4 linked regions of the Mytilus edulis genome follow. The protein of the gene in region 1 binds, or shares a complex with, the protein of each later gene. Links are inferred from orthologs where the notes say so. Each region holds a gene or a part of one and is shown in the gene's direction. Other genes may lie near its edges. The genes, in order: SNW domain-containing protein 1-like; E3 ubiquitin-protein ligase RNF113A-like; pleiotropic regulator 1-like; RNA-binding motif protein, X-linked 2-like.

Region 1 (7,030 bases):
TTTCTCATCTTTGTTAGGTAATTTACAGTCTTAAGTGCTTATGAAAATATATGCTCTGATGATACAAAATAATATAAATTAAAAACCAATTGTTCAGAGAACAATTGAAGGTCTTTCCACAATAAATTAATTTGAAATAATTGTTGAAAAGAAGGTACGGTACATTTGTAGTTCCTGTTAACTGAAAGTTAAAAATGGCATCCAATCATAAGTTTCTTCATACTGATTGAATAAATAATGGTTTTCTATATACTTTGATGGGAAATAAGGGAGATAATGTGCTACTTCCGGTGAAGTAAATGTCACTTCCAGTCTCATATGATAGCTTCTTTCACACTGATTCCAAAAATATATAGTTTCTAATACTTTTGTTTGTAAACCAGGAATAATTGACCACTTCCCGCTTATCAAAAGTCAGTTTAAGTTTTAAGTGATAAGAAAAGGTATCAAAATTACAAAATATATGGATTCAGAGTAATTTTTCATGAAAAAGTGCAAAAAAGGTTACTTCCGGTTTTTTTCAATGTCACTTCCGGTTGTCAATTTTCAAGGTCATATGTCACCCAACCTTTTGTTAAAGGTCATTTGGCTTTATAATGAACCAAGTTGAAGTAATAATCAATTAACCTTATAATTAGACATTTCAGGGGCACTAATTCTTATAAGATGCCATGAGATTGTATCAGACCAAATGTAACATATCTTCATTACCATAAAGCAATCATTATGCACTTGTTCTTTTATTCATATCTTTTAAAGTGTTGGAGAAAATGCAAAAACAAGGAAAAGTCACAATTGAGAACTTGACCTTGACCTTTCTAAGTAAGGACGTAGGGGCCTCAAATAAAAACTTTCCAGGGTTATAGGGTAAATGGTTTATAAGTTAATAACACATACCGACAAATTTATTTCGTAAAGGTAGATAACTCATATAAAAGTTCATCGAATCGCTTCGATTCAAATTAGCTAAAAATTCCTGAGGCTGTAACGAACAATTTGTAAAAGAAATTTTGTCAATATCTTTTTTTGTTACGAAGGAGATGCACTCTGATGATAAACAGTGAATAGGGAGATAACTCTTACAAAGAAAATGGTTCAGTTTAGCAGGGTGAAATTTAAAAGCACATAAACTATACGATACAATATGAGAAATATCTAAGCGACATATTGCGAAACAAACATTTATCGCAAGAACAAAATTTGGCTGGAACAAAAATAAATAATCAGAACAAATACAATAGTTCTTTCCACAGAAAAGTGGAAAGACCTAATTAAACAACTGTGATTTTAATTCTAACCAATATTTGATTAAAATACCTACTGTAAAAGCTGCACGTCCAAATCTTACTACTCCAATGGTAGAAACCTCCCAATCATTTTTATACAGAAAATAGCCTGACCCTGTTCCTAGTCCTCCAACAGTCAGATATTTCAAGGTTTTCTTGAGGAGGTGTCTACTCATTCTACACGATCTGAAAAAAATAAGTCCCAAGTCAAAATTGTATTTTAGTGGATATTCAGTGGTTGTATATGTTGTAGTTGGTTGGTGTTTATCATATTTGGTTATTAGTTTTTAGGAGAGCTGTGTTGTAGTGGTTAGCGCATCAGAATACTAACACAAAGGTTCCTGGTTCAATCCCCATTCTAGAGATAATTTCAGAGACTCATTGTACATACTACAAGGCTGCACTCACACCTGCAAAGTGGAAAGGGATTAATATAAGTTGCAATAACTTGTTTCCAAATGTAAATAAATATGTTTAAACTAATATTTTTTTTTTCTTTTTCAATGAAATATTGTTTTGTACCTTAATTAGGCTGTTCCCATTTGAATAGTTTTTACATTGTTATGTCAGTACTTTTCTACTTTCTAAGCTACATAGCTATATGTTATGGGTTTTGCTCATTGTTGAAGGCCATACAGTGATCTATAGTTGCTTACATCTATGTCTTTTGGTTTGTTTAGGATAGTTGTCTCGTCAGTTATCATTTCACATCTTATTGTTATGATGCATTAGATAATTATATTTCATATGAACAAAATGATAATTTTTTTTTTTGCTCAAATGCACAGGTCTTAGATGAGCTAAAGTTAAAAAATCTCTATATATACAATGTCATTTGCAACTTATGGGATGGTTCAAGACATTTAATACAGTCTGTGCCAAAAACTTTTTCATCTACTAGTCCGGAAACTAAATATGAAAACTTGTACCTATATGACTATATAAAATTTTGAAAATTTCCACTAGTCCGAATCAATATTTACTAGTCTGGGGCATCAGACTAGTGGCTAACGACGCAGACTGAGACAATCAAGGCAATTCACTGTTTGAATGGTTTTACACTAGTAATTTTGGGGCCCTTTATAGCTTGTTGTTCGGTGTGAGCCAAGGCTCTGTAATGAAGGCCATACATTGACCTTTAATGGTTTACTTTTATAAATTGTTATTTGGATTGAGAGTTGTCTCATTGGCACTCACATCACATCTTCATATATCTATCTAATGATTGAAACTGGTAACTGTCATTAGTGCTATTGATTAATTCGATGTTTAAAAGCACATTGTCACAAATTAGGTAACAGATTCAACTGTCACTCAGTGTCCAAACTCAGATTTCAAACTGATTTCATACTAAAACATGTTAATCAAAAGTCAAGGATATGAAATGTATTTAAAAAACCAAAATATAAAATAAATTATTCAACACAAGAAATTAAAGTCCATTTTAAATGGAAAATTATACAAAAAGCATCTTTTAGGTAAGTCACATCCAATCAAAAATGTGTTGATTGGTCACTCATTGAATATTTTTCTCTATATATGAATTCTTCGATTAGTTATTCTATAGTTATTGCAACAGTAAATTTACGGTAAAATTGCACTTAATTTATTTCGAAAATCGTGTCGATATCTGATACATGTATGTAAATATATTTTCAAAACCACTCTGGCAGTGTCTAGTGCGAAATGACCTAGGGCGAAGCAATTCATTTCAAAATGACCTGGAGCCTAGCTTCTCAGTGGGAACAGAAACCAAGGTGAAAGGACAATACACCTTATCACTAATCCCGGCTGACCCGGCCATTTGAACTTTTGACGCATACAACAATCACTTTTCCATTGTGGCGTCAGATATTTTGTTTTATGACGTCAAAATTTTACGGGAACCTGTGTGATATTCATTAATGGCAGATAAATAGCGATAAGATGTATGTATACAGTCGTTCTATTTTTTTCACTCATATTTTGATCTGTTGACAAACTGAATCATTTATTCCTAAAATTGTGTTGATGTTATTTGTTAAAAAATACAGTGATTTTTTTTCTTCATCTAAATGAAGACTCTTTTAAGGGGGTCTCAATGGGGGATTCTGATCCCAGATCCCGCTTACTGTTTTGTCAGATTCCCATATCCCGCTTACACTATGTACGTAAGCAATTCTCACTTTTTGGAATTTCCCATGTACCGCCAGATTTCATTTCCCGTTTTCATGGCACAATAATTTGACACGTGTCATGCTTACAAAAAATCAGCAATCCCACTTCACGCTAAGACCCCAATGAGACCCACTGTTTATGCAATGCCAATGACAGTCCAAATAATTATGAAGCCTTGAAAGGCTAGCGCCCTAGCGTAAGGCGTCAAAGAAAAAAAACTATAATAGCCTGTCGAATTAAGGCGTCAAAGAAAAAAATTATAATAGCCTTTCAAGACGTCATAATTATTTGGACTATGGATCACTATGCAAATGAATCAATGAACATAAAAATATAACAAAGTCAAAGGTCAAATCTGAAGCTGATTCAAGAACTGTCTTGAATTTCTCATTGAAATATCTTCGAAATTGGGTCCAATAGCTTGCTATTTATAGTATGATACAGGTTCGGGATATATAAATTTTGAAGTGACAAAATAAACGTCAGTGTCCATACCCTTGTCTTTCTTAGTTCTAGATCGTCTGTTTCATAATCCTCAATCCTCATGATCATTTACACACAACGAACGAAAAGTCATAGTGAATTCCGAATGAGTGACTGACTTTTTCGTTGTTTTCGAAAAGAAGGTAAAGGGAGGGAATAAATACGTAATATCGACAAACAAGATGGCGATGAAACTTGTGGAGTAAGTTCCAAATTGTTTTTACAATATACATCTAATAATGGTCAATACAATTATCGCAAAATGTCAAATAAATAAAAAGTTAACCAAATTTTGTAAAAATCTGCACTTTCAGGCCCTACTCAGCTCCAAACTAATAAAACACGCGACAGAACCGGTCTTTGAACATTACGAGGGTCTGAATGGGTGATGAGCGGTACTTTATTTTATGTGTATTCTTAAAATTAACAACCTTTTTTTTTGTTACCTTCAAAATTGCGCTTATTTCATATAATCCACACTTGCTAATAACTTTATTTTTTTCTCATATACATAAGGGGGACGCATAGCCAATTATTCGTCTTCGTAGGCTCTTCGGTTTTAAAAGCTCTGCAGAGTTTATTTTTGTACAGTTGTACTTGTAATGCATCTATACCGACTCTAATTAAAGTTTTATGTCTTATGTCTAGGCTACGTGTACCCACCTTGGGTTTTATAATTTAATGTCATCAGATTCAGAATAATAATACACCTTATTGCTTATCCCGGCTGACCCGGCCGCTTGAACTTTTGATGTCAACAACAATCACTTTTCCATTGTGGCGTCAGATATTTTGCTTTATGACGTCAAAATTTTACGGTAACCTGTGTGATATCCAGTAATGGCGGACAAATGGCGATAAGGTGTATTAGAATAAAGGAATAGTTTTTTGAATATTGGAAATTTGATCCATTAACCCACTGAGCCAAAGAATCGATTCCCCAGCTCAGTTGATTAACCCTTTCAACGCTACACAAAGAAATAGAAAAATGGCTGCTGCTGCTGCATTTTTTTGTGACTTGTGTTCATTCATTAGAACAGTATATTTCTTTTCAGACTGCTGTATCTTTTTTATTATAAGAGATACAGAGAAAGTTATTGTATGAAAAATGCTCAGGAGAGTATGAACTGTAATGTTAGGCAGTTATTTCAGTAAAATTTTTATCAGGTTACCTGCATTTTCAGGTAATTACCAGGTAAAAGGTGTAATTTATTACATTTGTGTTGAATTTTGAATAAAAAACTAATTTCGTCTTCATCTATTTTGTTGTTTTATCTGCCATATAATAAAGAAGACACCAATTGCTCGATTCCGTAGCGTATTGCACCATACACAAGGTATTATGTAATCGTGGCACAAATCAGTGGCTCCGTCCTCAAAATTTTCAGTCAACCTCCGTTTTCCCCCCTTTTTCTACGTCTCGTAATGATCGATCAATTCATATTTCCTACACAAATTTATTGTAATAAACACATTGAGATAACAAGAAACCTTTTAACTAATCCTCGTTGTCAGTTTCACCATAGAAATGCTGAAATATATCCATATTTACAGCTTCGTTTTCCAATTTACGCCATTTGCATATTTGTCAAAATATTTGTTTTTATTGTCCTCCAATTTTCCTTCTACTGCATGATTTTACAATAAAAATTGCCGGGATTTCAAGGGCAAATAAAACCTTGCATATCCTCGATTCATACAAGAAAAAAATTTAAAAATTGGGGCATGGGCAGCCTGCCCCCCTTTTCATGGGAAAAAATTTGTTGATTATATAGGGAAACACTGAAGCATGACTGGAGTGCCCCCCTTTAGGTCAGTCAGCAGGCACTCCCTTTAAGGTCAGTCAGCAGCCCCCCCATTGGGAGGTGAGGGGACACATTGATCTCAATTGACCCATTTATCAAATGTAAGGTGGCATACAACTGTAAGCTGGTCATTGAATCATTGCCCTAGTATATATACTGATTTCAGATTTATGATTGATACACAAATCAGTTATACATGTGACTGTGTATGACAGTCATGACAGTCACTGTTATTTTGCCTTCAAATGATTTATGTCAAAAAAAAAAGATGTGGTATGATTCCAAATAAGACAATTCTTTAGAGACAGAAAGCACAGAAATTGACTACAGTCACCATACAGCCTTCAACAATGAGCAAAGCCCATACTGCATAGTTAGCTAGAAACGGCTCTCAAATGACAAATGTAAAACAATTCAAATAGAAAACTACATGTAACTGCTTTATTTATGTAAACAAAAATAAAAATGAATGTAACAGATTTCCTGACGGATATAAGTTTAAATTCATTTGTTTTCAAGTGTTTAAAAAAATAATTGGGTGCTCTTTTCCCTACAATTGTTGCTTCTTTCTATTAGGCCATACAAAATAAAATGTTTGTTTGCCCTAACCTTACCTACCCAGAAAATATCTGCATACTCAAAATCTTTTACTGAACATTCTGATATGCATGAAGAGTAAAAGACATCTGACACTTCAATTTCTCTTTGCCAAAAATAAGAAAAGAAAATGCCTTCCTACCAACTTCCTACTGTTTTTACCTTTAGGTAGGGTTTGGGCAAACCAAAATATTTTTTAAGTGTGGCCTAACAGTAAAAGAACATCTTTATTTAAACTTATTTTCATTTCAGTATATTGCCTTCACCGGTGCAAAGATATGACAGAGAAGATGAAGATAGGTCATTTAGACAACAAATGCAGGTACAAACAAGGAACACATTCATCATAGAAAATCAGATTCACATGGCTTATATTGTTAGATAAGTTGTAAATGAAATATTGATTTGACTGTGCCTTCTGAGTTTCTTATATATTTTATTCAAATGAAATTTGAAACAGTCAGAGCTCCAGATAAGCTGCGTATTTGCGTGATCACGCAATACAAATAATAAAAAACCCAATGCAATTGCCCATTGCAGGGTTCAATAACCCAATTAATTCAAAGGAAAACCCATTATATTCCAAAACCATGAGTTCTCCACCCTTTTATTGGCAACCATTTGCGTTGTTTACCCTTATCTGTTTACAGTCGTCGTGTAAACTATTTTTATTTTTTATAATATTTATAATTGGAAATTTCC
Region 2 (7,228 bases), on another chromosome or scaffold:
GCCACAATCATCATTGGGGTATCTAGTTTAAAAAATGTGTCCGGTGACCCGGCCAACCAACCAAGATGGCCGCCATGGCTAAAAATAGAACATAGGGGTAAAATGCAGTTTTTGGCTTATAACTCAAAAACCAAAGCATTTAGAGCAAATCTGACATGGGGTAATATTGTTCAACAGGTCAAGATCTATCTGCCCTGAAATTTTCAGTTGAATCGGACATTTCGTTGTTGGGTTGCTGCCCCTGAAATGGTAATTTTAAGGAAATTTTGCTGTTTTTGGTTATTATCTTGAATATTATTATAGATAGAGATAAACTGTAAACAGCAATAATGTTCAACAAAGTAAGATCTACAAATAAGTCCACATGATCAAAATGGTCAGTTGACCACTTTAGGAGTTATTGGCCTTTATAGTCAATTTTTAACCATTTTTCGTAAATCTTAGTCATCTTTTAGAAAAATCTTCTCCTCTGAAACTACTGGGCCAAATTAAACCAAACATGGCCACAATCATCATTGGGGTATCTAGTTTTAAAAATGTGTCTGGTGACCCGGTCAACCAACCAAAATGGCCGCCATGGCTAAAAATAGAACATGGGGGTAAAATGCAGTTTTTCGCTTATAACTCAAAAACCAAAGCATTTAGAGCAAATCTGACATGGAATAAAATTGTTAATCCGGTCAAAATCTATCTGCCCTGAAATTTTCAGATGAATCGGACAACCTGTTGTTGGGTTGCTGCCCCTGAATTGGTAATTTTAAGGAAATTTTACTGTTTTTGGTTATTATCTTGAATATTATTATAGATAGAGATAAACTGTAAACAGCAATAATGTTCAGCAAAGTAAGATTTACAAAAAAGTCAACATGACCAAAATGGTCAGTTGACCAATTTAGGAGTTATTGCTCTTTATAGTCAATTTTTAACCATTTTTCGTAAATCTTAGTAATCTTTTACAAAAATCTTCTCCTCTGAAACTACTGGGCCAAATTAATCCAGACTTAGCCACAATCATCATTGGGGTTTCTAGTTTAAAAAATGTGTCCGGTGACCCGGCCAACTAACCAAGATGGCCGCCACGCCTAAAAATAGAACATAGGGGTAAAATGCAGTTTTTGGCTTATAACTCAAAAACCAAAGCATTTAGAGCAAATCTAACAGGGGTAATATTGTTCATCACGTCAAGATCTATCTGCCCTGAAATTTTCAGATGAATCGGACATTCCGTTGTTGGGTTGCTGCCCCTGAAATGGTAATTTTAAGGAAATTTTGCTGTTTTTGGTTATTATCTTGAATATTATTATAGATAGAGATAAACTGTAAACGGCAATAATGTACAGCAAAGTAAGACCTAAAAAGAAGTCAACATGACCAAAATGGTCAATTGACCCCTAAGGAGTTATTGCCCTTTATATAGTCATTTTTTTTTAACAATTTTCACAAAATTTGTAAAATTTTACTAACATTTTCCACTGTAACTACTGGGTCAAGTTCATTATAGATAGAGATAATTGTAAGCAGCAAGAATGTTCAGTAAAGTAATATCTACAAACACATCACCATCACCAAACCACAATTTTGTCTTGAATCCATCTGTGTCCTTTGTTTAGTATTCACATAGACCAAGGTGAGCGACACAGGCTCTTTAGAGCCTCTAGTTTTCAATGTTACTGAAGACCCTTATGTGACTTTTAGTTTTAAATAAACGTTGATTGATTAAAACTTGTTCCTATTTGTCTTCTTTTTTATATTTCCCATAAACATGATAAAGTGCTCTGTTATTGTGTACATATCTCAACTGATTTCAAATTGTATGATATTTTGTTTTTTTGTGTTAATAAGCACTTTTTTTCTAAATGCTTTTTTTTGTATGCAAAATCTTCATAAACATGGAGAAAACAGATTCATTCATACATTCATTTAAAAAATCAAGTTATGCAACATAAAATGTACCTGTTTCCAGTGCTTTGACACCATTATAAATTGATCTGTGTCTTGTTGGAGATCCAGTAACTAACTTCACTTTAGTAAATTTATATTTTGTTAGTAAATTCTGCATGAACTCCAGATAACTCTCATCAACCACAACGACAATCATTTTTATCCAGCTTAGTCTGAAAATTGGGAAAAAAGACTGAAATTTAAACAGCACATAATTCATTGAAAACAGAGAATTTTTTAGATTAAGAGTTTATTAAAAATTCTAGAAATGGAAAGGTTTAGATCATTGGATGTAACTGTAGCCATGTGTAGCGTTGTCATTAGTTTTCTTCTTAAAAAAAAGGCTTTCCATTGGCCACAAACTTTTTTGAGACCATGAATGTATGATTACACCCCTATGATCATGTATGCATGTTCACCTTGAAGAATTTTAAAATGCTTCAAATTCATAGCTTGCGTTTGTAAGGTAAAATTTGGAGATATTCAACTTCTTCAATGCTAATCCTCATGGCTTGCCAAAATTCCTAACTTTAATTAACCATTCAAATATTCATCGGTTTGTCTAAATTCATGCTGGGGAAAATCTGAGTACATAAGAAATCTTTTACAATATTTGGAATGTCCATGCATTTCCATTTTTACATATACATTGTATCTATGAAATCTGTGTATTGTAATAGAGGTCTGTTTAGTAATTTACAGTGTTGTTTTGGTGTACTTATTTCCATTCTAACATAGCACAAACATTTACCTATGAAAACTATGTATTGTGTAGAGTATAAGAGGTCTGTTTAGGACTTTGCAATATTGTTTAGGTGTGTCCATTTCCATTCTTACACCACATCCACCGGCAGGTAAAACCACACAAACATTTTCTAAATCCATTTTTGAAACTGAAAAATATATACATGTAACTCATAAAACTGTTTGAAACATATTTTACAAATGTGCTGCATTTGTTTGCACCTGTCCTAAGTCCCGGACCTGGAGTCGGTTACACAAAAAACTTATGATTATGATTGATCGAAAGTAGTAAACAATTCAGTATAATTAGGATACATCTTAGTCGTAAATTTTTTTGTGAAACTAACTCCTGTTGTTCAGTGGTTATTGATGTGGAAATTCATAAGTGTTTCTCATTTCTTGTTTTTATTAAATAGACTTTATAATAAAATAACGATTTTGTAAATAAGGGGGACGGCAAAAAATGTATTGTCCCAAGTGCCTTTGGAAATTTAGGGATATTTTAATTCCTTTACCTGTTTACTGCTTATATAAACAACAATGTTTAAAACATTCTTGATGAGAGCCATTGCCGTAGTGGTTATAGTGCATCAGACTACTAACCATGCTAACACAAAAGTTCCTGGTTTGAATCCTGTTCCGTGATGAAAATTTCAGGGACTGAATTAGTATAGATAGTAAAATTAGGTATTTTCTCTGAGTCGTTTAAGTCATTAGAAATGAGACATGTACAGTAGTGATAGATATGTATTATAAATATAGAAAATTGAATATTTGAATCAACAACAAAAAAATATCTGTATCCTATACCCAAGCGCTTGTGAATAAACGTATTTACACTTTTGGTATTTAGCTGAATCTTGCCTCCGAATGACCTTAGATCAACTCCGAATCACCTTCTGACGTCAAGCAACAATCACTTTTAAATTGTGACGTCAAATATTTTGAATTATGATGTCAAAGTTTACGGGAACCTGTGTGATTTTACGTAATGGCGGACAATTTGCATACAAGTGTAAATACATCTATTTAGGGCTCTCCCTTGGCATCATTTTCTAGTATGGTCTTGAGGAAACGAGGATAGTCTGTCAAAAGGGGATGATAAATGGCTGACCGGGCGTGTTCATCTCTTGCAAGTTAAAGACACCCTTGCATATTTTGAAATAGAGCAGGCTAATGCTGCTACATTTTGTACAAGGCAGCACACGCACAGGAAAAGTGGAAAAGGATTAATATAAGTTGCAAAACTTGCTTCTCTATCACCTGTAAATAAATCTATGAAATACATGTTTAAACTAAACTAAAACATTCTTTTACAAGGTTTTGAATTTTTGGGAACTTTTTGCATTTGTCCAAGGTAAATATAGTAGGCCTTGGAACAATATATCTCCCTATTTGCTCCTGTTTATACTTTGATTTTCAATATACAAATTTTACCTTTTTTACCACGTGTATTTGTTGTTGTTTATGCGGAAAATAGAAGCAATATCTATAACGTGTAATTTGATTGGACACTGAAGTTTTCGTTCATTTATATTCCAATCGCAGAGTTCGTTATTTTTACGCGTCGGAAAATAGTCCAAAATGTCGGACGATGGATCATCACAAAAATCCTGCGTATTTTTTAAGAAAAGCAGGAAAAATCAGCCCACTAGGAAACGGAAAACATCTGAATCTGATGGTATAACATACATTTTTAATATGTGCTCATTGTGTTAGGAAAATGAATTAATTTCGAGATCAGACAGCCATTTTGAACAAAACAAGTATGGTTTTTTATTTTGACGTTTTTCAGACGTCCATGTATATCACATGATAAACAAGACCAGATATTATGAAATTGAACGCTTCTTGTTGTAAATTCCATGTGGTTCAAAAGCGTTGACCGAGGTACATTTTTAATAAGGCATGGCAACACGTATTACTATTAATACTATAAATGTGGCACAATCACAGGGGCTATATAGGGGGGGGGGTGTAGGAGGAATCCAGGTCTGTTCGCGCCCAGTCACGTTCGCGCCCAGTCTTGTTTGCAAATTTCACTTCCACACCCTACGTACACGTTACCACTAAAAGTCCATCTGCACCTTACACATTCGCGCACATTCTTAATGGTTTCAAGTTTTGGCAAGTGTATTCCTTTAAGTACAATTTGTTGTCATTGTCTCAAAAATAAATTGAGACAACGTTTTTTTTGTGTTGCAGTCTGCACGGTTAGCCACTAGTCTGATGCCCCAGACTAGTAAAATTTCATTCGGACTAGTAAGTTTTTGCAAATTTTATTAAAGGTAAAGATCCACATGCATGACATGATATAAAAATAAAATGTTTGAAATAAAAAAAAAGATTTGATGCTAAATTCTTGACCTGAAAGGAGATACGTGACGTGTATAGAAAAGACCTAACATTCTACAAGAAGACTTATTCTTACTTCACTAATTGTTTAATTTTTTATCAATATATGTGTATTACTAATCATGCTAATGTTAGTGTAACGTGTAACTAGGCGTTTATATCTCAAACGTCCGTTCCAGTAAATACTTGGATCCAATTGTCCACAAACAATATGGTAATACTAAAAACTACAACTATCTATATATTATGCACAATGAACTAAAATATACACACGGACTCTTTGCCGATATAAAGTAACAACGGACAATTATATATATATACAAATATAATACAATAAAACAGCCTGTCCTCAAGATGGGACGATGTGACACAGTGTCACTAAAAGACAGTATGGCTGGTACAGTCTGTCTGTATCAGACAGTGTGTGCTGGTACAGCCTGTCCTCCGAGTGGGACAGTCTGTCAATACCAGACAGTGCGGGCTGGTACAAGTTGTCCTCCGAGTGGGACAGTCTTTCACTACCAGACAGTGGGACAGTCTGCTATGTCAACATGTACTTCCACTTTGTACCCAGTACAAAGTATACTCTGAATACCAAGGCCCTTCTAGCACTTAAAATATCCGAAGTACGCTCAGTTGAAGGATGACAGCTCATCGACAGCCAACCGACAGCCTCGAGTGCTGTTTCTCACTCTCTTATATACCTGTGGTCGATACCACTATTTACTTGATAGGGGTGTTCTCTAAATGTTACCCTTACGGAGCATAGAGGAAATCATAGAGTCCCTTACGACCACCCCTATAACTTTCGACCCGACAACTGATTTTCCCGCCAAACATCTAAATCTGCCTAACTCTTTTTCTAGCGTAAACCATGCATTTCTAAGCTAAGATTCTACTCAACTGTAACCTTAACGACCAATAAACATTACATTAGTATGTTCTTTTTTAATTTTTTTTACAATTCTTAAGAAACTGTAAGTAAATGAAGTATAGCTGCATATATACTAAATTTAGTCCTGGTACATGTATCTATGATGAGTTTATATATATGTATCTGATCATGTTTCTGTTTCTGATGATTGTCGACAATGTGACTTATCTGCAATTTTTAATAAAGAAAACATTAGGTTTACAAATATATTAATGTTCCAGCAGATGGAAAAAAACATATCACTGCTTTTATCATTCAGTAATATTTATAATTTATTTATTTATTGATGTTACAGAGGATGATGCACATTTAAAACACATAAATTGCATATTAAATTCACACATATCAATGTATCACCATCTTCGCTAGCTAAGGGTTACGATCCACTCCCTTTCTCCATGTTCTCTTCACCCTTGGCACTTGGCAGATTAAGCCAACATTTGTAAAAACAATGTTGCGCCATCTATCGGAAGATTAAAGTCACGCCCATTCCGAATACATTATTCTTGACTAATGGTAGCACTTGAACTCTTCAATTTGGAGGTAAAAACATGGTAGCGTCTAGATTCTACACACTTGATAAAGCCAGAAACAAAAATATACATCAACATTCATGCATTTGTGCATGAAACATACACAGGAACTTCTACCAATTGAACAAAAACATTAAAGTTGTCACTAAATATAGTCGTATGTTTATAGAATGTTAAGACTTGTTGCACAATAAACACGTGGCATTTGTTTACAAACACTTTCTTCATTTACATGTGATCATGTTATAGGTGCTTTTTGATTGGATGCAGCGAGTTTCGACTGCAACCAACATGACCAATAAAAATCCTTACCTTGTGTCTCCAAAATTTTATCTCAATCCACCAAGGGTGAAGAGAAAGGGAGTGGATCATAACCCTTGGCTAACGAAGATGATGTATCACATACAAAGCAAATTTAGCAATTGTATAGAGCAAGAATAAAATTTTTGAAGCACATCTATAAGACAACATGCATTGCCATTTTCATCATGCACATCTAAAGTACACAGCACATTTGAAACACTCAAAGCACATATAAAACATAAATATTTATCACATACATATGCATGTACAACACACTTATGTATATCTAAAAGACAAAATGCAAAATAAAAATAGTTTTGGTAACATGGTCTATGGAAAAATCAAAATGGCAGTCGAAATGCTAAAAGACCAATTGTATTCAAGTACTTGTAGATTTGCAAATTGTAAAGAATTATTA
Region 3 (7,871 bases), on another chromosome or scaffold:
GTTTCTATTCAAACTGATGTCTAACATATTAGCACGATGAAGAGCTTGTTGTCTGTTGCTTGGCAATGGCTGTCTTGGCACTCGGAACGGCAACGGTGCTACCCAACTTCCTTCCGAGTCTCTTACAAATTCGTTGTCCATCTGCTTCATGAACATTTTGTCCTCATATGACTGTCCAGGCTTGTCATCGTCTCTTGTTTTTTCAAAGAGTGGCGATTGTAGGTCTTTCGTTACAGGGTCTGTGTAGTTTTCCCGGATGTCAAACTTGCTTGTGCATGGTTGAAAGGTTGAAGGTTGTCCTGTAGGCAAAATGTTGGTTATTTTGACATTTAACTCAAGAGGAACATGCTGCTTGTTAATGCAGGTTTCTCCTATCACTACCCAACCAAGTTTCAATTGTTGTGCATATGGAGTTCTGGGTGGTCCTATGCGCTGATCGAGGACATGGTGTGCCTCTATAAGGTCTCTGCCAATTAAGAGAAGAATTTGGCAATTTTCCTCTATTGGTGGAATGCTACCTCTAAGTTCTTTTAAATGAGGGTGATGCATTGTTACTTCAGGAGTAGGTATTTCGTCCCTATTATTGGGAATATGATCACATTCAATCAGTACAGGAAGGTCAAACTTGTCATTACCATTGATTGATTCCATGACGAAACCTCTTCCTCTTTTGCCGGAAGTGACTACTTTGCCGGAGCATGTTGATAAAGTATAGTTTTCCGGTTTATCTTTGACGTCGAAAAGATTGAAGAATTCGGGCGATGCTAGTGACCGGTTGCTTTGGTCATCAATGATGGCGTACATGCGAATAACTTTGTACTGGTTATCTTTGTGATAAACATTCACAGGAAGTATTTTAGCACAAGATTTCCCACTATATGTATCTTTGCAGACCTCAGTACAGGTAGAGTTAACTGAGGTTGCCTTAGTTTCAGCCGATTCTATAGGCTCCCCGCCGTAGGCTTGCTTAGGCGAGCTAGACTGCGAACTTGTAGGTTGCTGTGGTCTAGTGATGTGAAGTGCGGTAGTGTGTTGTTTACTTCCACATTCTTTACAACTTATGCTTGCATTGCAATCCCGGCTTCTATGTGTGGTAGAATCACAACACTTGTAACATACATTGTTTTCTTTCAAAAGACCTTTGCGCTCCTCTATTGACTTGGCTCGGAACGCTCGACATTCATTTAAGGAATGCTTTGTATTGTGCAGAATACAAAGACCTTGTTTGCTGGCGTCTCTAGATTGCTGCTCAACTGCTGTTTTATGAGCACCAACTTTAGTCCTAGGGTAAGGCGTAGACCTTGGCGCAGCACCTTTTGTATTTGGTGTGGCTTTTGACCCAAAGATGAACCCAGGATCGTTCTTTGTTTTGCTGATTTCCCTGATGTAGGCAGAGAATTCTGTGAAAGGTGGAAAGGCAACGTCATATTTAGCCTTGTATCTTGTAGCCCTTGTGGTCCACTTTTCTTGGAGTCCGTACGGTAATTTTTCAACAATAGGATTTATCCCGGACGAGGAGTCAAAATATGCTAGCAAACATCCCAGCTTGGGATTTTCCTTGTGATATTCTATTTCTGATAGAATGTCAGACAGTTCGTAGAGACGTGCGTTGTCCTTATTTGTTAAGGTAGGGAATTTTTCAAGTTTACTCTTGAGAGAGGCTTCCAACATTTCTGGAGCACCATACCGCTCGTCAAGCCTCTTCCATAATCTCTGTATACCTATGGTAGGATTATTAGCGTTCGACGCTCTTATGCTAATGGCGTGTTTAGCAGACTCTGGACCGAGCCACTTGATCAGTAAATCGATCTGTTCTGAGTCAGAGACTTGTAACTCATCAGTCACGTTCTTGAAGCTTGCTTTCCAAGTATGAAATGACTCTGCCCGATCGTTAAAGCTTGTTAATCGGGAGAAAAGCAAGTCCTTGCGTAAAAGGAATCTAGTTATCTCTGATGTAAAGTTGATTTGTTGCTGGTGTGCAACAGGGATCTCTTCTACTATGCCTTGTTTTTGGTGTGAAACAGGGATCTCTTCTATAAAGTCTTGTTTTATGCGTAAGACAGGGATCGCTTCTTTAACACCCTGTTTTTGATGTTCAGTAGGGCTCTCATCTGAAAGACCTAATTTTTGTATGCCGGTTACTAATCCCAGATCTGGGATAAAGGTAACTTCCGGTGACTTAGTATCGGAAGGTAAGACAGCAGATGTCTGTGACAGCAAGTTCAGTGCCGCGGACGGCACGAACGCTGGTGCTTCGTGGCTCAGCTCAATTTTAACAGGAAATTGCTTTTTCTTTTGAGGTGCTGTTACTTCCTTTACAGCTGTTGATACAGGAAGTTTGTTGACAAAATCTTGCACACGCTGGAGCGGGTCTTCCTTTTCGTCAGGGAGATCGCTAAACGCTTGACTGTCATCGTATTCCAGAATACGAGCCTCGGCTTCTGCGGCTGCAGCCTCTCTGCGTGCTTCTAGAAGGTTTAACTTGGCCTTCAGCTCGACCTTTTCACGGCTTACACGTGCAGCCTCTTGTTTGATTTGTGCTTTTCTGCGTATGGCCTCTTGTTCTGCCTCATGTTCCATTTTAGCATTTGAACGTGCGGCTTCTTGTTCCATTTCGGCCTTTTTAAGTGTGGCTTCCTGTTCAATTATAGCTCTTTTGCGTGCAGCTTCCTGGTCCATCTCAGACTTTTTGTGTGCTGCTTCTTGTTCAAATATAGCTCTTTTGCGTGCAGCTTCCTGGTCCATCTCAGACTTTTTGCGTGCCGCTTCCTGTTCCATTTCAGATTGTCTGAACAGGGCTTGTTCCTCTAACATTGCCTCTTGTTGTAGGATAAGTGAATGTTGTTCAACAAAGGCTATTTTTGATTTAGCGGCCTCTGCTTTGGCACGCTTCCTCCGTGCTAGACTTGACATGCCTGACACGTTAGAGCTACCGCTGTGTGAGGTTTTCTTACCCTTTGAGCCTGAGGTCCTTGTTTTAGTTGATTTAGCCTTAGTAAGGGCAAGGCGATGCTCGTGTAGAGATTCCATGGCCAGTTCCACTTTGGACAGACGAAGATCCAATGTGAGGTTACATGCGTCTATGTCTTTTTGACTGTCCAACGTTCTGGTCCTTTTTAGGAAGTCCAGATATTCGTCTGTGAGCCTACGATAGTTTGTACAGGCTTTTACAAGATTGTCCTGAATTGTTAAGACTTGCTGAAGTTCATTGGGAGGTGTGGTGATTTCCAATAACTGGGTTGTTATATCTGACCAAAGGGCCTCTAGTTCCTCACAGAACTTGTTACGTTTTTCTGTGTAGGCTCCTTTACCTTTTTCGGTAAGATCCCGTACTCGCCTAGTCTCGGGATTTTCATCTAAATGTGTGGTATTAGACGGATTTTGTAATAGTTCTAGATCTGGGACATTTCCCTCTGGGGGCTGTATCTCTTCTTGTTGTTCCACATGACTGGGATCCATGTTGACTCAACGTTGTTGGGTTGCTGCTTAGTACACACAAGTTATGTAGTCCACTGTCAGTGTAAAGGTATGAACGTTGTTAGGTTGTCGTTCCTTGTCTGGATATGTAAAGACAGGTTGTCGTCAATTTACTATGCTGAGCCTGACTCAGCTAGTATAACCATGGGACTGTATCGCAATCTCGGCAAATTATAAAGAATAACAACTTGTGTTTGAAGATTGTAGATTATAATTCCACCAGAAATGACACAGGAGTTTTTACAGAGCGTGTATTGTTTGGTAAACTGAAAGAAATAAAAATACAATATTTACAATATGTACGAAAGAAATATATGAATGTTCAATGCAGTAATAATATCAAGTCAAAAACGAAAGTAGAATTCTCAGGTCAATTCATAGAAATAAACAATTACAGTTCGTATTTGTTGAATAAACGTGGAATTCAAGTTAACGGAATTAACGGTATATATATTTAACAGTTTATAATCGATTTGAAACGTACTTGACGGTGATTTGTCACAATATCCACAGGAGCAGATTTGTCGTGGCATCCATTTGCAATAGACAGGTGAGGAAGAGAAAGTAAACGGTAGTGAAAATACGGATAAGTCCAGATTATTTCCGGAAAATATGAATGTCTGAAAATTCAATCCAATAAACTTTATAGTAAATATAGTTGCGTATGTGATCCAGAATACTCCTGACTTGGAAATAGGCACATACAGAATGTGACTGCGTCAACTTAAGCATGCTAGTTGGTGTCCAATCCTCCCCTAATCAGGGACAGTGGTGTAATAGTACAGCATAAAGATTATTATGTGGTCATTGAATAAAAAAAATCTATAGGGTGTACCAATGCTTTTTTTATAACAAAATACATACTATAAGTTATTGTACAAGTAATAAGTGAATTATAATTTGTACCAAATGCTACATGTTCACAGACAACGGAATTTATTACAAAGGATAATAATAATATATACTGGAATGGTCCTGGATCCAATTGATTTTAATATGTTTACTGAAATTCTTCTGCAAATACTGCAGGGCCACCCGATATTACCAGTAGAAAGACCCCAATAGATATACATTGTAAGAAGATGTGGTAAGCGTGCAAATGGGACTATTATCCATTCAAATCACAATTTTCAATTATCTTCAATTTCTACGGAAGATTTGCTGTCAAAATGCTAACATTCGAATTTTCAATAACAGTTAACAGCAAATAGATTCTCACAATAACAGATAACAAAATAGATAATAGTCCTATAACAACTAACAAAGAATAAGACAATAACAGCTAACAGTAAATATATTTATAATTTAGGGTACGTTGTTATGTATGTTTATTTTTCAGGAAACATATTATGTTATTCTTTCTTGGTTCTAATCGATATGAACCCCACTAGACTTGCAGCTGCCGGCAACTATTTATTAATCAACAGTTATCTCCCTTATACAGAAGCCGTGCAAACAACGTTTTTTTTGGGTTATTTTCTAGTGTACCTATCTAAGAAAAATCAGCATGGTAGAGGTAATATAAATAGAAAATATTATATACAGTAAATGACCATAAGTGTTCGTCACCAGGATCGCCTGTAGTTGGTGATCGCAATACTGGTATTAAAATTTTGTATTCCAGTATCGTACCAGTATTGTGGTTTTTTTTTTAAATAAACAATACACGGCCAACAATACATATGAGACAATATCTGAAAAAGTATAATTTTTGGCAATAAGAAAAAAAAAATGTCTTTAGACCTGGTATTTTAATAGCACAAATCAAAGAACACACCTTGAGGATCTAGATACCGTGTTGTCTGTAATTCAGACAATTCTTATTGTGGTAACAATGGCATTTTTAAAAATGGTACAAAAAAAATCCAGTTCTTAAAAATCCTCTCTTTTAGCACTTTGATATTCCACTGTTACATTACACACTAAAAACAAAACCCAAACAATATGCTGATATGGGAAAGGTAACATCATACCTGCCAACTTTTCAAAATGCCCATGGGGGTTTTATGGAATCCGGGTCCGTCTGCCCTGATTCTGGTTCGCCCTAGTGTCTGTTTGCCCTAATACCTGTTCGCCCTGAGTCCGTTCGCCCTGAGTCCGTTCGCCCTGATTTTTTTTTATAGTATAGTGTTGCGTTGTGTGTATATAATTGAATGTGTTGAGGTCAGTCTACAATTTGGACGAATATTTACGATGATCATGTTGTTTATAGCTAGCTGCTACTGGGACTAGGTTATAAGTTTCTGTATATTTCAGGACTACAAGATATTGTGACTTCAAGGTATTGCCTTGAGAAGTAAGTTTGTATCTATGTTATTACCATGATTACGTTACTAGGAAATATTCAATAACAGTTATAACAAGATCAATTCCGAACTGTACTTCGCACACCTTTATTTCCTAAACGAATATTTAAAAGCACTTATTTGAATTACTATTAGTGAAACAAATACCAAAAACACAGTCACACTGCTGTACATTGATCACTTGTCATCAGTGTTTTTACCCATCCAAGCTGACTATTTTATTTGAGAAAAATGTTATTTTCATTATTAATCCATCAAACATGTCAAAGACAATTCAAATAACAATCAGTGATATCAAAGATTTCAAATGATACCTTATCAGCAATCAAAATGCAATCAACAGTAATTAAAAGTAATTATAAAATAAAGTGTAACAATGCAGCCAAGAATTTTATTTAATTAATATAAATTTGGCAAATATTCTGTTATTTTCTTTTACATTGTAATAGATATACATAAATTTCAATATATATATATATAGAATGTTGTAATTTATTCCAATGAAGAAGGCCGTAATGGCCGAAACATATGGGAATTTGTGTTATAGTTTTTATTATATATATATATATATATTTCATTCATTAATGTAACATATACATATCATGAATGAATATAGGGCGAACGAACCCAGGGCGAACGAACCCAGGGCGAACAAACTCAGTGCGAACGAACCTAGGGCGAACATGTAATTAGGGCGAACGATCCTGATACCGGTTTTATGTGCAAGTGTAAATCAAAATATTGTCCTATGAAATGTTGTACCACAAGACAATATTTCATAACTATGTATTATGAAATATTGTCCTCGTCTATGGAAAAATGTCCTGAGAATGACAAATTTTCATAGTGAAATTTTGTCTGTATGTAGAAAAGAATCCATGACAAATCGCCCCACTTTTTCACAAACTTGCCCCACTTTCTAAAAAAATCGCCCCACTCTTGTTAACCAACTCGCCCCACTTATGAAAAAGGATAAAAAGGTTTCCTTTTAAGTGTTATACAAAAAACTAAGCTTACAAGTATAAAGTTATTCTCCAATAATGATACAAACACATTTTTATACGACCGCAAAATTTGAAAAATTTTTCGTCGTATATTGCTATCACGTTGGCGTCGTCGTCGTCCTGCGTCCGAATACTTTTAGTTTTCGCACTCTAACTTTAGTAAAAGTGAATGGAAATCTATGAAATTTTAACACAAGGTTTATGACCACAAAAGGAAGGTTGGCATTGATTTTGGGAGTTTTGGTCCCAACATTTTAGGAATTAGGGGCCAAAAAGGGCCCAAATAAGCATTTTCTTGGTTTTCGCACTATAACTTTAGTTTAAGTTAATAGAAATCTATGAAATTTTGACACAAGGTTTATGACCACAAAAGAACGGTTGGGATTGATTTTGGGAGTTTTGGTTTCAACAGTTTAGGAATTAGGGGCCAAAAAAGTGCCCAAATAAGCATTATTCTTGGTTTTCGCACAATAACTTTAGTTTAAGTAAATAGAAATCAATGAAATTTAAACACAATGTTAATGACTACAAAAGGAAGGTTGGTATTGATTTTGGGAGTTTAGGTCCCAACAGTTTAGGAATTAGGGGCCAAAAAGGGACCCAAATAAGCATTTTTCTTGGTTTTCGCACCATAACGCTTGTATAAGTAAATAGAAATCTATGAAATTTAAACACAAGGTTTATGACCATAAAAGGAAGGTTGGTATTGATTTTGGGAGTTTTGGTCCCAACAGAATAAGGGGCCCAAAGGGTCCAAAATTAAACTTTGTTTGATTTCATCAAAATTGAATAATTGGGGTTCTTTGATATGCCGAATCTAACTGTCATGACTGTGTATGTAGATTCTTAACCTTTGGTCCCGTTTTCAAATTGGTCTACATTAAGGTCCAAAGGGTCCAAAATTAAACTTAGTTTGATTTTGACAAAGAATGAATCAGTTAGGTTCTTTGATATGCTGAATCTAAAAATGTACTTAGATTCTTGATTATTGGCCCAGTTTTCAAGTTGGTCCAAATCGGGGTCCAAAATTAAACTTTGTTTGATTTCATCAAAAATTGAAGAAATGGGGTTCTTTGATATACCA
Region 4 (7,710 bases), about 59 Mb from region 1:
AATGGACGGAATATGTTGGCCTTTATGTAATAAGTTACGATTATTTGAAAATGCTTATTAAACAGTCAAATGGGTGCACAAAAGTAAAAATATGAGTCACAGATCCGATTGAATACAATTATCTATCCAATTTTATTGATTTTGTAACATTTGTTTCAAATATGACCAACTTTTTATCCAAAATCACCAGCATCGTATCAGGACCCACTAGCACAATGACAGGACCCACCAGCACAATATCATGACATGAATAAAGAGAGAAAATGCAAAATTTTAATAAATTACAAGGGGTTTTCACAAAATAATTTTGTCGTGTGGATTTGGATATAAATGGCGGACTCCAGGAGCATTTTTGTTTTATTTTTTCATTTCTAGATTTTCTGAAAATTAGTATGTTTGTATTACGCTCACTGAAACAGCTTGAATGGTCACATTTCTAATGGTTGCCTTGAACCCATAAAAAAAAATAAAAAAATAAAAAAATCTCAACTGTTTCCTTCCATTCTTTATGAGAAAAAAACGTCAAAAATCATAATATTCGTCTTTGTTTACATATTTTCGATGCATGATCACAAGCACCGGTCAGGACCGAAATAACAGCACAGACCGTTTTCTCGCAGGACAACTTTACCCACCGTGAAATTGGTACTGCAGTAAGTTTTAAAAGAGTAACATACACGAATAGATTGTCCTTCGGTGATGTATGCAGTTGTTGGCTTTGCAAACAGGCTTGGCGTCTTCGGATTGGGTATGCCTTGAGCAGCAGTAAGACCTCTGTAAAATCAAACTTAATAAAGATTGTATACAAGATAAGTCGCAAAAGAGTGAATGTATTTCATTAAACTTTTAACATTAAAATACTCTAAAACTCTAAAACAGAATTAGTCCAATAAAGAGTTTACTGGTGAGTCTTGGTGGTTCTGATAATCTTAATATAGACATCAATCTCTAAAATATATATGTTGTATATACATTATGTACACAGCCATGTATCACCATCATTGATGGCGATCCGATGGATACATCTGTTGTAGAGTTGTCACTGACTCAGACGTACTTATAAATATAATTATTTTCTGTGACTGTATATTACATTAATTTGTAGGATCCTTTACAATAGATAATTTAGCTGATCTGTAACAATAACATCTTCATGCCTTCTATATCATGTACTGTAGTACGCCGCTAGATTAAAACTGACGAGGAAAGGTAACAAACGGCCAGCGAAAGCTTTTTTTTTTGAGAGCCCAGGTGGTCGTGTGGTCTAGCGGGACGGCTGCAGTGCAGGCGATTTGGTGTCACGATATCACAGTAGCATGGGTTCGAATCCCGGCGAGGGAAGAACCAAAAATTTGCGAAAGCAAATTTACAGATCTAACATTGTTGGGTTGATGTTTAGACGAGTTGTATATATATACATCTATCTTTACACCTTATACATTATATATCAGTATTGTTAAAACTTTTGCACCGAAGAAGGCCATTTGTTGAGCCGAAATATTTGCAATTATTGTATAATTTATATCATCTGTTCAGTTTTTCCATCTTTGTGCGAGACTCATATAATTTTTCCTGTTTGTGTAGTATTGTCAATTTTGATGATCCAATACCTATTAAGTTTACTGGTTGGTAGATTCTTATAGACTCTCTCTCTCTCTCTCTCTCTCTCTCTCTCTCTCTCTCTCTCTCTCTCTCTCTCTCTCTCTCTATATATATATATATATATATATACATATGTAAGTTAAGTTTCAAAGCGATATTTACCCCTTTCCGCTTTAAATACCTTCTTCTTCTTAGATATAGTAGTTAAACTCAATAACGAGTACTCATTACTTGTGCGTTACGTAGATGTCTATTTACAATAAAAGATCAAGGATCAAAAAAGAAAATATGGTGCATGCTGTACAGTTGGTGCAGGATAAAAAAAACATTCCATCATCTCGGTAACCAGTATCTTGAAAGCTTCGATCACTTTCGATTCCGGTAATTTATTCCAGGCTATTACCTTTCTTGGAAAGAATGAGAATTTGTAGTAATCATGTCTTGGGTTGAAGATGGTGTATGTCATGGTATTGTAGTGTCTTGATGTTCTATTTAGTGGGATGAGGTAAGTATCTGTTGGAACTGCTACTAGCTCATTTACAATTTTGTAAAATATGCATAATCTGATGTTTACTCTTCGTTGGTAGAGAGGTATCAAGTTAAGCTTGCTTATCATGCTTGTGACACTCGATTGGTTACTGTAGTCGTTGAAAATATAGCGAGCCGCTCTATTTTGTCAATATTTTCTTGCGTATAGGGATCCCATATGGCTGCGCTATACTCCATTGGTCTTATAAGTGCGTTGACAGCATTGGTTTTTGTTTGTTGTGGAGCTTTTTTGATGTTTCTGCTAAGCATCCCTTGTGCTTGGTTTGCACTGGCTACAATGTTGTGTATGTGTAGGTTCCAGCTAAGGTAATTTTTGATGGTAATTCCCAAGTATTTCGTGTCTGTGACTGCTTCTAGTTGTTTCCCATGATGCATGTAATAGGGTTCTTTTATGGGGGGGTTTTAGATCTTGTTAGGTGCATCACGTTGCATTTGCTGACATTAAATTCCATTTTCCATTTCTGTTCCCGTTTCGTCAAGGTAGTCATCTCTTTTTGAAGGATGGCTTGATCTTTGGTAGTTATAATTTGCCGGTAGATGGCGCAATCATCAACAAACAGACGAATTGTTGACTGTATATCATCAGTGATGTCATTGATGAAGATAAGGAAAAGGACAGGTCCAAGTACACTGCCTTGGGATACTCAAGATGTTACTCCCACTTTGTCTGAATACTTATTTTCCAGTACAACTGCCTGTGTTCTGTTGTCTAAAAATGCTGTGATCCATTTGTGATTTTCCCTCTTATCCCATAGTGTCTGAGCTTGTGTAGCATGCGTGGATGGCTGACTTTATCAAATGCCTTTGCAAAGTCCTGGACTATCATATCTGTTTGTGTCGATAAAACAGATACGCAAAATCTTGCTATCTGCAGGTGTTTTTTCTTTTACAATTCCTTCAATCGATCTCTGATGTGGTCTAAAAAGGTTAGCTACCTGATATTTGTTCATCTGATTTTGTTCAATTATTTTAAATGAATAAAACATATAAAAAAAATCATTTTTGCATCAGAATAAAATTGACCAAATATGAGAAATTTGATAACCTTTATGGTCCTTTGTCTCATCTGTGGAGTGGGTACATCAAATAACTGACAAACGTATACTTATGATTTTATAGAGTAGAAGGTAATACTAACTTGTAGTTTCGGCAGACTGCGACTATTTTCTTCCCAATTTCTCTAAATTGTTTCAATCTTTCAGCCATTTCGAAGGCCAACTAACATACATATATATATGAACTCGTAAATTTGTGCTTTATACCTTTCTCAAATCAACTATAAATTATACGTATTATCAATGTAAACTTTGATTCTGTTATCTCATCTTAAATACTTTTGTTTGCTTAAAAGCACCGTTTGTCCGTTGATATCTTCAATCACGATTTCAGTATAACTTGTGTAGTTATAGTAAAAATAATAATGGTCTGATTTCTCTAAATACTTTGGGGTTACTAGCTAAGTCTTCTTGGTATGTCGTCCGTGTTATTATGCTTATTATCATTACCATCTAAAGTCATAAGTAGACCTTAAAATAGAGCTGTCAGAACATTTTAATAATGGTTTCTCCGTGTCTCTTTTCAGCTAATGCACAGAGTTAACTGTTTATTCTGCCGCTAGATAAAATGTCTATTTTTATCTAATGTGAAATGTGGGATTTATATTCCACTATACTAGATGAATATCTCTTTTAAGCTAGTGTGGAGTGCGAGCTGTATATTCCACTGCTAGATGAGTGTCTCTTTTAGTTATTATGGAGTGCGAGCTGTATATTCCACTACTAGATGAGTGTCTCTTTTAGTTATTATGGAGTGCGAGCTGTATATTCCACTACTAGATGAGTGTCTCTTTTAGTTATTATGAAGTATATTCCACCATTAGATGAATCGTTGTCCTTGTTAGATCTTCTTGGCAATCATTTAATTGATAAAAATACAAATTGTGCAGATAGTCTCCTTACGTACAATGTTTACTAGGTCGATTCAATTATGTTATTAGTTTTACTGGGGAAAAATTGTTATTAAAATTAAATATAGCCTCATTTGAAAACTTTCTTTTTAAAGTCAGTCGGATAGAAATATAACAAAATTTGGGAAAACGATATGTTTTCTGCTATGAAAGAAAAGTAAAGAAAAGTAAATTACGTACTATACATAAATAAGAAAAAAAAAAATATACTGACTTAAAATATAAAAACCGGGCCATAGATGGGAACGGTAAAATATGAATACTTTATAATGTTATAGCAGAGACATGTATAATATGTCTCTATTTATACCAAGTAAGTATTTGTTTGATGATGAGACGAAGTTGGGGCGAGTAGTTTTCGGGGCCAAACTTTGATTTACACGATGGTTTTAAATCTGAGGGCAAAATAAAAAGTTTTACCTTCATCTTCCCTTTCTTGAATTCAACAAAAAAAGCTGAATAATGCACAACAAAAGTAAAAACCAGCAAAACTTGTCATTTATAAAGGTTGAGTATTAGTTAGATGACATGATGATATATCATTTGTGGCGAATGTATTTTGGGGCGAAAATGACAAGCTGAAACTCTTCTTTAAGAAGGGCTGAAAAAGGTATAAAAAGCAAAATGTTTTTCTGGTTTCGTTGTCTTGCTGTTTGATCAGTTTTAGCAACTCTACGTGACATTGGAAAGATATATTGATTAGTTAGCAATAGGACATGAATCCTCTCACGTAAATATTCTGCTTAAATTATATGAATGGAACACGATTTTTATTTTTCACAAAAATTACCTGATCACAGGCACTTGTCTCAGAAAAAATTTCCTATATACCTTATTATAACACAAAGTACTTAACTTGCATTTTAGAAAAATGTCAGGTGGTGACGAAGTACCGTTATATGCCGCTTTATAGGCTGTCAACCCCGCTAAAACTTGTTATATCGTAAATTAGTCCGAGATTACTCTGACGTCCAACGGCTGTTTTGCCAGACAAGCTGGGGCCGTGGGACGTCAGAGCTCGTCTTATATCAAAAAGTGGATATTTGCCCACCCAAAATAGATGCGCTGCTTCGTCGCTTCTGCTGCCGACTGACGGCCTTGGAATTATATAAATCGGGCATCAATCTGTTCATTTTTCATAAATTATCTCTTCATTTATGTAAGTTTCACTTACCTGCCAACCTTTATTTTCTCATTAGTAGACAGTTTTCACAGTGACCCATCGATTTCGGCATTTTGAATTTCACTTTTATTTATTAAGTTATTAAAGTGTTTGCTCTCACTGTTAAATCTGGCAGGTTTTTCCATTAATCCTTTTAAGATAAGATAAGATAAGAAAACTTTATTTTGATTCGGCATGAGTACAAATAAGCAACACAAGCTCTAAGGAGCTTTTGACCGAATATAAAAACATATAAATAACATAAAAACAGTGCATTTTGACATATAAAACAACCTGTAATACAAAGTTGAATCTCACATACATAGCATGCAATAAAAATAATCAACAAATTTAGAATGAAGTAAAAACATGCTTGACCAGAGCAACCAAAAGCAGCATAAATAATAAAACAGTTTAAGAATTATCTGCAAGCAGAACAGTGACATTCCAAACCGTTCCAGGACTGAACAAGACTTTTAAAATGTGAAAAACTGTTTTCAGTCCTGAAATGGTTTGGAAGACTGTTCCATAAAGTAGCAGCAGCAAATTTGAACGATTTTTTACCGTAACGGGTTGACTTTACCTGTGGAATTTCAAGAATATTTACATACCTGAAAGAATATTTAGATTTTTTGACATTCACCAAATTTTGTAAGCACACAGGAGCGATGTTGTTTATAATTTTAAAAGTTTCTAGAGCCATTGTTCTTATCCGTCTGATCTGCAAGGAAGGCACCTTAGCTTTAAGTAAGAGGTCCTCGTAGGAGCTGGTAAAATCCTCATAAACAAAACGGAGTGCTCTTTCCTGCACCTTTTCTAGTTTTTTGGAATTTTTCTCAGTGCAAAAATGCCATGCCAAAGGGCAAAAATTAAAATTACTAAGAATAAAAGTATGAAATATAGTAAGTTTACTAAGTCTATCCAAAAATGAGCCTAAACGTTTTAAAACATTTAATTGCTGTGATGCCTTCCTACAGATTGAGCTGACATGAACATCAAAATTTAGCTGGTAGTCTATTTCAATGCCTAATAATTTTACTGTTTTTTCACATGTGAGGTTCGAATTTTGAATATGTATAGATGGGTTCTTTTCAAAGGTCTTTTTGCCAACAGCCAAAACTTTTAATTGAAAAATGTCTTACACTTTTTCTTTAAAAAGTCTTGAAAGCGGATTCATGATCAGGTTATATGTCAGTAATCACTGTAATGTACATTAGTAACATCAACAGAATCTGAACTTGTTATAGTCTTGACACCGATAGGAACAGAAAACAATAAATCATTCAATATCAGAATGTAAAAAACATAAGAAGGACTCCCATTTTAACCTTAAGGTTGACAAAATAAGACATATTTTCAAATTTATATATATATACATGTATATTAAATTGATATTAATGCAATCCTAGTGGCAAACATACATGTATACTGCAAAAGCAGACATTTTCGTGAAGGATTTAACTTCGTTTGTTTCGTGGAAAGAATATATCAACAAAACTAAATCCCCCACGAAAATTTAACCTACATATAATATCACTTCGATTTTCTTGGAAACCATGAAAAGTTAAATCCCAATGAAATCTTGTATATATGCACAAAACTACGAAATTTAAACCCCATGAAAAGTAATGATTTCACAGTATGTCAAATTCATTCAATACTCACAATATAAGTCGGACTCTAAATATAAGATAATTATCTGTTTGTAAGCATCAGCTATAGCTAAGACAAGTTAAAGCCCAATAGAGGTAAAGAAATTATCTCCCTTTAGTAATTTTAAATGAAATATAGTTTTGAATTTTAACCATGCATTTATAATTTTTAACCATTTCCAGGTGAACAAATTGGCCTATACTCCAAGTAAATTTTGTGGTGTAAACAGACTGGTGTAAACAGACTGGGGAATTAATTAGCAGATAAGAAATTCTGTGATTTAGAGTTTATCAAAATTTCAAATATACAAATGTAGTTTAGATGTTAAGATAGTTTCATTATATTAGTAAAATTGAAAAAAAAACACCTTTTGCTGCTAAGATACAATATTCATCTGTAAATTCTTGATTTGCTGAATAAAAAAAATGCTATAGTATAATGAAGGCTTTAAATAATGATGATATATTTCCAAGTCCAAAATTTGAGAAATAATGTGGTGCATTTGGAAAAAAAAACAACTTAAAAGAGTGATATAATTTAAGAAATAAAGTTATAATATACTTTAACAAGTGATTTTTTTTGTAATTATTCAAGATTCAGTACCAGATTATCATTACCTGTCTTCTATATAAACACAGATGTTAGTTCGAATAATGTCCCAAGATCAATATATACATTTGTATTTAAAGCTACAGTAACATTAAAAAAAAAAAATAGTCTAGTGATTTATAGGTACTTCTTACATGTATATAGATGATTACAAAAAAAGAGTTAAGAC

The links.
Region 2: SNW domain-containing protein 1-like (region 1) and E3 ubiquitin-protein ligase RNF113A-like share a complex: the UniProt entries of both Homo sapiens proteins name them as parts of the minor spliceosome. The link is inferred for Mytilus edulis from reciprocal best matches to the Homo sapiens genes SNW1 and RNF113A.
Region 3: SNW domain-containing protein 1-like (region 1) and pleiotropic regulator 1-like share a complex: the UniProt entries of both Homo sapiens proteins name them as parts of the minor spliceosome. The link is inferred for Mytilus edulis from reciprocal best matches to the Homo sapiens genes SNW1 and PLRG1.
Region 4: SNW domain-containing protein 1-like (region 1) and RNA-binding motif protein, X-linked 2-like share a complex: the UniProt entries of both Homo sapiens proteins name them as parts of the minor spliceosome. The link is inferred for Mytilus edulis from reciprocal best matches to the Homo sapiens genes SNW1 and RBMX2.

The regions. Positions count from the first base shown.
Region 1 is NC_092346.1:18,106,703-18,113,732, reverse strand, and holds the start of SNW domain-containing protein 1-like, read left to right. Parts: upstream 1-4,024; 5' UTR 4,025-4,108; coding exon 4,109-4,128; intron 4,129-6,580; coding exon 6,581-6,650; intron 6,651-7,030. Other genes in the region: aarF domain-containing protein kinase 1-like, read right to left, coding at 1,322-1,462. UniProt on the Homo sapiens protein: Involved in pre-mRNA splicing as component of the spliceosome. As a component of the minor spliceosome, involved in the splicing of U12-type introns in pre-mRNAs.
Region 2 is NC_092345.1:33,823,225-33,830,452, forward strand, and holds the start of E3 ubiquitin-protein ligase RNF113A-like, read left to right. Parts: upstream 1-4,214; 5' UTR 4,215-4,269; coding exon 4,270-4,366; intron 4,367-7,228. Other genes in the region: D-ribitol-5-phosphate cytidylyltransferase-like, read right to left, coding at 1,954-2,114, 2,693-2,826. UniProt on the Homo sapiens protein: Required for pre-mRNA splicing as component of the spliceosome. As a component of the minor spliceosome, involved in the splicing of U12-type introns in pre-mRNAs. E3 ubiquitin-protein ligase that catalyzes the transfer of ubiquitin onto target proteins.
Region 3 is NC_092351.1:69,143,410-69,151,280, forward strand, and holds the start of pleiotropic regulator 1-like, read left to right. Parts: upstream 1-4,860; 5' UTR 4,861-4,984; coding exon 4,985-4,993; intron 4,994-7,871. Other genes in the region: uncharacterized protein, read right to left, coding at 1-3,459. UniProt on the Homo sapiens protein: Involved in pre-mRNA splicing as component of the spliceosome. Component of the PRP19-CDC5L complex that forms an integral part of the spliceosome and is required for activating pre-mRNA splicing.
Region 4 is NC_092346.1:77,143,107-77,150,816, reverse strand, and holds the start of RNA-binding motif protein, X-linked 2-like, read left to right. Parts: upstream 1-4,707; 5' UTR 4,708-4,833; coding exon 4,834-4,847; intron 4,848-7,710. Other genes in the region: oxaloacetate tautomerase FAHD1, mitochondrial-like, read right to left, coding at 678-774, 3,290-3,357. UniProt on the Homo sapiens protein: Involved in pre-mRNA splicing as component of the activated spliceosome. As a component of the minor spliceosome, involved in the splicing of U12-type introns in pre-mRNAs.